2 linked regions of the Oryctolagus cuniculus genome follow. The protein of the gene in region 1 interacts with the protein of each later gene in a biochemical or structural test. Links are inferred from orthologs where the notes say so. Each region holds a gene or a part of one and is shown on either strand. Other genes may lie near its edges.

Evidence for each region.
Region 2: the proteins of GNAI3 (region 1) and RGS19 form a complex in vitro, tested with the Homo sapiens proteins (3 studies listed by BioGRID). The link is inferred for Oryctolagus cuniculus from reciprocal best matches to the Homo sapiens genes GNAI3 and RGS19.

The regions. Positions count from the first base shown.
Region 1 is NC_091438.1:60,822,005-60,825,807, reverse strand, and holds part of GNAI3 (guanine nucleotide-binding protein G(i) subunit alpha-3), read left to right. Parts: intron 1-3,031; coding exon 3,032-3,161; intron 3,162-3,688; coding exon 3,689-3,803. UniProt on the Homo sapiens protein: Heterotrimeric guanine nucleotide-binding proteins (G proteins) function as transducers downstream of G protein-coupled receptors (GPCRs) in numerous signaling cascades.
Region 2 is NC_091442.1:134,212-138,639, forward strand, and holds the start of RGS19 (regulator of G-protein signaling 19), read left to right. Parts: upstream 1-1,627; 5' UTR 1,628-1,769; intron 1,770-1,788; exon of another isoform or gene 1,789-2,302; intron 2,303-3,755; 5' UTR 3,756-3,823; coding exon 3,824-3,853; intron 3,854-3,997; coding exon 3,998-4,119; intron 4,120-4,428. Other genes in the region: protein LKAAEAR1, read left to right, coding at 27-831. UniProt on the Homo sapiens protein: Inhibits signal transduction by increasing the GTPase activity of G protein alpha subunits thereby driving them into their inactive GDP-bound form. Binds to G-alpha subfamily 1 members, with the order G(i)a3 > G(i)a1 > G(o)a >> G(z)a/G(i)a2.

The sequences.
Region 1 (3,803 bases):
GTGGCAGAGGCCCAAGGACTTGGTCCATGTTCCACTGGCTAGGCTCATTTCCTAGGCTCATTAGCAAGGAGCTGGATGGAAAGTAGAGCATTCAGGACTCGAACCAGTGACCATATGGAATGCCAGTGTCGTAGGAAGTGGCTTAACTCACTGTGCCACAGCGCCAGCCCCTGGTTTTCATCTCTTAAGTTTAATAGAATGGCATTAGTATTGTCAGGGCTGTTGAACTGATTTATGCATAAAGTTGTGTACAACTAAGTTCTGAATACAGGACACAATTGAAAACTGACTTGAGGGTAGATGTTTTTTGTGGTAATGGGATGGCAGATAAACATTGTTTTAGAGTCTAGTACTCTGTTACAAAGAATTATCTCATTAGTGTCTCTTATACAGCTCTGTTTCTCTCTGTTAATGCTCTTTTATAAATATTAGAGCTGTCTTTTTGGTTCCTGTTTTCTGCTTTTGTGACCTTTGAGATTGAGTGATTTTTTTTCCCCCTTCATTCATTATCTGATGTATTTTTTTTTTTTTTTTTTGGACAGGCAGAGTTAGTGAGAGAGAGAGAGAAAGAGACAGAGAGAAAGGTCTTCCTTCCGTTGGTTCACCCCCAAATGGTTGCTATGGCCGGCGCACTGCGCCGATCCGAAGCCAGGAGCCAGGTGCTTCTTCCTGGTCTCCCATGAGGGTGCAGGGCCCAAGCACTTGGGCCATCCTCCACTGCCTTCCCGGGCCACAGCAGAGAACTGGACTGGAAGAGGAGCAACCGGGACAGAACCAGTGCCCCGACCAGGACTAGAATGCTGGGTGCCAGCGCCGCACGCAAAGGATTAGCCTAGTGAGCCGTGGCGCCGGCCTATCTGATATGATTTTAATTGCCTTATGTTTATATGTAGAATGTGATAATCAGCATTATTGCTTGCAAATGTCACTGCTACCTTAGATTTTCAGTTTTCTTTTCTCTGAAAGCAGTTGTTCCACAGGATTTGTCAAGTCCACACAGCATATGTATTACTAGACAACAGTTGAAATCTTAATACACCAAATCAGATTTGAAAAATTGTATAGAAAATAGCATTTCAGCTGAATGTTTTTAGAATCGAATAGCTGCTTATCTTTAGTCCTGATGAATTTACTTAATAAGAACAGCAAAATCATGTGGATTGTTGTCTGTAAAACTGTAAGAATGTACTATCTCTTTGTGTAATATAATGTAGTAATTCATTTATAATTAAATGTTATAACTAGTATTTATTTAGTCTGAGAAAGGTTCTTGTTCATGTTGTCAAAGACTGATCTTTAGGTAATCCTATCTTTTGATATCAGGACCAGTAGCCAGATCTAAATAAAGTGCCACACCCACTTTATTGTTGGCATGTAGATATCTTGTTATGAGGTACTATCACTTCTTCCTTTTCCTCTTCTCTCTAGGCAAAACCACTATCCATTTATTCAAACATTTATTGAGCATCTACCATATGCAAGGCATTGTCTAATTGCTTACTTGCCTCTCAATTATGAGGTAATGTTTATAAAATGTTGATCTATTAGTGAATGATACTGTAAAATGTTAATATGTGCTAAAAGCCCATTTGGGAACTTCACAGTATTCTTACCAGGTTTATGGACTTCATAGAAGAAAATGGGGAAGTAGATTGAAATTAATGGTGTAGTGGTATATTCCCTTTTGAAAGCCTGACATGGTGAAATATTTGGCTTTTAGCCTTTCTAAAGTATACGTGACCCTGCATTAAAGCCCGTTGTAATTGTATCGTTCCCTGAGTCATGACTAATGGTTGAAAAGAGCTGTGCAGGGTTGGTCAAAGGGAGGGTTGGGTCATGAAAGAGATAAGATGAACGTTCCCTTTCCAACATACGTTGGGAAATCACCAACTATGTCTTATTTCTTTCAGTGTCTGTGGGGGAAAGAAAATCTCTGAAAACTTGATCTTAGCCAAAGGCTGAGAAGCGATAGATCTGATATATGAAACTAATTTGGCAGATTTAGTCTTTAGAAGTTTTAAGGTTGTCATCAAACATAGATGTGAAGAATAACTAATCATCTGCATGCAGACCTCATCAGACCCAAGTATCAGCTAAATGACAAAGTGAGGCAGTTGTTCCCTTACTGTGGGAAGTAGATGAGAACACTGTTGACTCACTGTATCAGTAAACCTCCCAGAAAAGAGGAGTGGACTAAGACTAATGTAGAGTGGAACATAAAGTGTGTGAATAATTGAGGCTTTATTATTATTAATTAGGTTCAGGTAAGACTTGGAGTTGGGGAATAATAACTAAGTTTATTTTAGATATTGATTTATTGGATTCCAGCTGTAAATTTTTTTTTCACTAGTGATCTCTAAAATGTTTTTCTTTAAGTAAGGAAAACTTGAAAACATATGGAAAAGTAATGGAAAAAGAATGCAAATTAGGAAATTAGAAGGAAACTGCTCTTAGAGGCAGTGTTGTAGATAAAAGCAGAGGCAAGAGTTGGAGTGCCTAGGTTCAGATCTTCAGTCCCCATTTGTTAGTACACTGCATGCCCTTGGGCAGATTATTTGACATTCTCTGTGCCTCTGCTTCTTCATCTGTAAGATAAAATGCTACAAGGGTAAAATGATGTTCTTAAGGTGTTTAGGGTAGTGTCTGGCACCATGGTAAACACTCAATAAATATTAGTTACTATTATTGCTATCTTATGCTGTTATTCAACTCTTCATTTTTCATGTCTTTTTTTCTTCATTTTCCTTTAAATCATTTTAGTGCTTTATTCTGCTGACTTTTGGCACATACGATACAAGCTTTGAGAGGAGGCTCAACTGTTTAAAATGAGAATTTAGATTATTCCTAAATTTTATTTTCTCAAGTTCTTTTACTTTAGACACAGATAATTATTTTGACTACATTTTATTTGCTCCTTGTTTGTTTTTTCTATTATAAATGAGGTTTTGAATCTGTAAGAATGTGAATTTTCCTAATCATGTCAACTTACATGTGACCTTGCTTAATTTGTGCTTTCTTTCCCTTCACTCAGAATGTTTGATGTAGGTGGCCAAAGATCAGAACGAAAAAAGTGGATTCACTGTTTTGAGGGAGTGACCGCAATTATCTTCTGTGTGGCCCTCAGTGATTATGACCTTGTTCTGGCTGAGGATGAAGAGATGGTATGTTGGGGCTTATGGTGAAAAGCCTAATGAAGCCAGGAAATGGGAAGTAACTTAGGAAGACTAGGTACATTCATTTGCTTGTTGAAACAAAGATTAATACATACTTAATATTTCTGCTTATCAGGGAGATTAGATTTTCAAAATTAATTGATCCATACCTTGTTACTCTTGAAGAGACATTCATGGCTATGATGAGTTTATGGGAATATTAAATCCTTTTTGGGGGGCAATTTTGTGGTGCACTAGGTTAAGCCCTGCCACAGAAATCCCTTGCGAGTGCTGGTTTGAGTCCAGTCTGCTCCACTTCTGATCCAGCTCCATGCTAATGCAGCTGGGAAAGCAGCAGAAGATGACCCAATTTCTTGGGCCCCTGTTACTCACGTGGGAGACCCAGATGAATCTCCTGGCTTTCACCAGGCCCGGGACCAGCTGTTGGGCAATTTGGGGAATGAACCTGTGGATGGATGCAAGTTACTCCACTTTTACTTTCACTACTAATCTGTAATCCTTTGACTCTTTTTCAGAACCGAATGCATGAAAGCATGAAACTGTTTGACAGCATTTGTAACAACAAATGGTTTACAGACACTTCAATCATTCTCTTCCTTAACAAGAAAGATCTTTTTGAGGAAAAAATAA
Region 2 (4,428 bases), on another chromosome or scaffold:
CTAAGCAGCCCTGCCTTCCTCCCCAGAGCCGGCTCTCGGCCCCGCCCCTCCTTCCCGCGGAGGGGCAGGCGGGGACAGCTGCAGGAGCCCCCAGACCCTTCTCCCTGCCAAGGGCTCCCACTTGCTCTGCCTGGAGCAGAGCACGGATCTGGAAGTAGAGGCCAACTGGGAGCTGGGACGCAGCAAGGAATCCTGCCCGGCGGTGGCCAGGGCCCCTCCCCTGCCCGTGTGGGGACCTGGGCCCTCTGTGCCCTGCACCGGACCCTTCATCCCTTCCCGGCTGCTTGCTGCCCTCGGCCTTCATTCGAGCCTGGACAGTGTGCGGAGCTCCCAGAGGAGGGGAGAGGGCGGGGGGGGGGGGGCAGCTGCTCAGCCCCTGGCAGTCGGTGGCTCCAGAAGGTCCTGGCTCCTTGGCCAAGCTCCCTGCAGTCTGGACCAGAATTCCTTCAGGTTACGGAGTGCCTGGGACACGTTCGTCTATTTAATAAAATCACTTGTTATCCCATCACTTCTCGGAGCTTCCATTGCTTCCTGTTTAAAGTGAGGGTCTCAGTGCAGAGCCCCACGCCACCCCACAGTGCTCTGGGGAGAGGTCATGGGCGCAGGCAGGCACGGAGCCCAACCCCGGGGGAAGGCTGGCAAGACAGTGGCCGAGGCGGCTGCCCGGAGGGGCCAGGTGGGCACACGAGCACCCTTAAGTCCCCACTAGGGAGGGGGCCAGAGAAGGTGACCAAGGAAGCCTCTGGAGGGGGCTCCCACCTGCACAGTGCTGTGGCCCTGTGCGGGGTGGGGGTTCAGGCCCAATTCCACCATCCCCAGCCCCTCCCATGAGGCCAGGGGAAGGTCTGTGCTGACCAGCAGTGGCCTGGGGAGATGGATGCAGGTGCGGGGGGAGGGGAGCAGAGGACAAGAGGGAGGGAGTGTGCCAGCCCCCCACCGGGCCACACACCTGCATTTCCCTGCCATGGAGATACACCCCAAGTGCTGCAGGACAGTGTGGCTGTGGCCAGGGCCTCCCTGTCCTCCCCTGTCCCTCTCAGGACAACTACGTGGGCTACAGAAGAGGCAGCCACCCCTGTCCAAACAGGGCCTCCTGGCCTCTGCCTGCCCAGCCAGCCCCACAGAGCCGCCAGGGCCCCTGAACACAGCCCAGGTGTCCCCACCTGTGCCCCGGGAGAGGACGCTGGCCTCCGGAGCAGAGCAGGCAGTGCTGAGGGAGACAGGGGCAGCCGGAGCGGCCCAGTGGGCAGCAGACCTGCAGACCACGGCCAGGGCGGATGCGGCTCATGCTGACAATCAGCCAAAGCACCTGTGCCAGTCAAAGGGACTGGGCTAAGGGGACACTCGGGGCCACCGCAGGGGTCAACGGGGACTCAGCCAGGCCCCATGGGCCCTTCGGCGCGCCTCGGGGTGCGAGAACCGGCGCCCCTGCTGCCCAGCAGCGCCACGGCCCAGGGACGAGCTCCGGACCCCCACCCATGCGAGCAGTCCGGGCCGCATGCGGGACCGCAGCCAGTGGCCCACAGGGGCTGCGAAGCCATGGCCCCGCACACCACAGCGCCATCTCCCGGGGCCACCGCGGCCAAGCGCGGGGGGCGCCGGGCCGGGCGAGCGCGGGGCGGGGCGGACGGCGCGAGGAAGTCCCGGCCCGCGCTTTGGGGAAGTCCGTCGCGCGCCTGCGCACTGCGCCCGCGCCCCCTCCCCGACGCCGGGGCCGGACCTCGGAGCGCGCGGGCGGCGGCGGCGCTGGCGGCTCGGGAGCGCGGCCGGTGAGTGCGCGCGCGGCGCCGGGGACGGCGGCCCTGGCCTCGCGGCCGGCCCGGCGGTGCGCGGCGTGGCCGCCACGGCCTGCGCCGGGACCTGCCCCTCGGGGGCCGCGGTCGCGGGTCCACGTGGACCCCGGGCCGCGGCGGCACTGCAGCCCGCCCCGCGCCTGGGGGAGGGGCGCTGCGGCGGGTTCCCTTTTTGTGAGCTCGGAGCCCGGGGAGAGGTTGCTTAAAGGCGGGGGCCGGAAGGACCCAGGTTTCCGCGGCTCCCGCCCCGCTAGCTTGGCGGGGAGCGGCCGGGGCGGGACTCCCTGTGCGCCCCCGCCCCCACCCCGTCGGGTCGGCCGGCAGCCGCTCCGCGCTGCGAGGCGGACCGGAGGCCCTCGCGGGCCGGGGCTCGGGACGCCGCGGGAGGACCTCCCGCTGCCCGGCCTGGGCGCTGCGGCTGCTGCCGTGCCGTGCACGCCCCTTCGACAGCCAGGGAGGGGCCAGGGCGAACCGGCCCCTCCCGCCCCCACCCCGCCTTTGGGTTGCTGGTGAGTGGGGCCCAGGACGGGCTTCTTGAGATGGGGGTGGGGGCTGCGGAGTCTGCGGGGAGGGGTCCGCACGCCTCCTGCCTGGCCCCGGGGCGGGGACAGGGGAGGGAGGGATTCCAGGGTTGGGGGAGCCTGGCCAGACCGGGGCGCCGCCCCCCAGCCCCTGGCTAGGGCAGCGGGTCGGAGAGGTCCTGGGCGGGAGCAAAAGTTGGAAGGAGTCCCTGCCAGCCCCCTCCCAAAGATTGTGACATTTTTCTGAGATTGTCACATTTTCTTGTTCTTTTTTTGGACTGGGCGGGCTCAGGGCCGTTCTTCTTCCTTGTGTGGAGCAGAGCTGCCGCCGCTCCCGAGGGAGCCCTGTCCCCAGGGGCCGGAGTGGCTCCTGCTCTCCCCTTCCAGGCCCCGGGGGTGGGGAGGAGGGAGCGTGGGTCCAGACCCTACTGCCTGAGAGAGGGGCAGGGCTGGAGGAGGGCCCAGCACCCCCGACAGCCCCAGGCTGGGGTTCCTGCCTGGGGCAAGGGCCCTGGCTGCCGTGCCCCTTCTTTGGAAACGTGACTCCCACAGGGCACTTGGTTCCCCCCAACACACTTGGCTTTGGGACCCTCCTGGGAGAGGAAGCCCAGCAGGTGTCGAGAGGCCTTGGCCCAGGGACTGGAGTCGGTGGCCCGTGGGCCTTGTCCTTTCCTGGGTGCTGAGAGCCAAGGCCAGTGGGGTTGAGGATGCAGAGGCCAGGCTTGGGAGTGAGAAAATTAGAAAATAAAATAGAACCAAGTCCCAAGCCTCCTGGCCACAGACCCTCGGGAGAGGCCTGAGGGCCCTCACCTGGACACAGCTGCGCAGTGAGGGGATGCGCCGGGTTTGTGGCTGGCTTTGGCACCTAGTGCCCCTCCCCACAGAGGTGCATCCCAGAAGTGGAAAGGCACACCCCCACAGGGTCTCCAGGCCGACTGGGGGCGGGGTGGTCTCCCTGGCTGGCCCTGAGGCTGGCGGCCGGCAGTGGCTTCTGAGCCTGCAGGTGCTGGGCCCAGAGGGTGGGGACCTCAGTGTGCCAGTGGGGTGTGAGGGTCAGGGCAGCTGCGGGCCAGAGACGCCCGACCCGGGGCCCAGATCCCTCCTCCAGCTTCCTGTCCTGCCTCAGGCTTCGGGCCTTGCCACAGAGAGGGAAGGAGCAGCTCATGTCACCACCTCCAACGACGCACAGTCCCCTCGGGAGGGGCCCAGAGCCGGAAACCAAGAAAGAGGAACCCAGGCTTCCGGCTCCCAGGCGCTGAGCCGACGGGGGTGTCCCAGAACCTCCTCTGGGGGCCTCCTCTGGGGGCCAGCCTGGGAGGAGGGGCCGGAGGCTGGGGCAGAGGGCAGAGCAGGGAAGGAGGTGTGCTGCAGGCCACTCCCGCAGGACAGCTAGGGTCTGGGGTCACAGGTTCTCGGTCAGAACCTTGGCCCCTCTTCCCAGACCCCCCGGCTGTGGTGAGGGCCTTGGAGCTGGCATCTCGGAGCCTGGGCCGCCTGCTTTACCCACCCATGCCCACCGCGCATGAGGCTGACAAGCAGGTATGCTGCTCCCTGTCTGTCCCGGCCCCCTGGGGAGGGGGTAATGAGGGGTCAAGGTATCCCTGAATACCTGGGGTGGGCAGAAGGCACAAGTCCAGGTTTGGGGGGTTCCACCTTGAGGCTGAGGAAGCCCTGTGTCCCCAGCACGCAGGGCCAGAGGAGGCAGACCGGCCGCCTTCGATGTCCAGCCGTGATGCGGCCCCCACGGCGGCCCCCAGCCGCAACCCCTGCTGCCTGTGCTGGTGCTGCTGCTGCAGCTGCTCCTGGTACGCGCGCCTGGGACCAGGCTGGGCCCGGGCGGGAAGGGAGGTGCAGAGGTCTGGCCACCTGACGTGGCCCTGGCGTCCGTATTCAGGGCCTGGTCCCAGACTTGCCGCAGCGCCAGGGCTGGTCCCTGTGCAGGGCCAGGCCTGCTGCGTGCGCCTTCACCCCTCCCTGGGTGCCTGGTCATCCTGGGGACCTTCAGTGGAGCGAGACGGGCACAGCCCTAGAGTGGGTGGAACAGAGAGACCCCAAGGAGGGAGCAGCTGGCCCTGGGCACGGGGAAGACCTGCCCAGGCAGCAGGGTCAGTGTG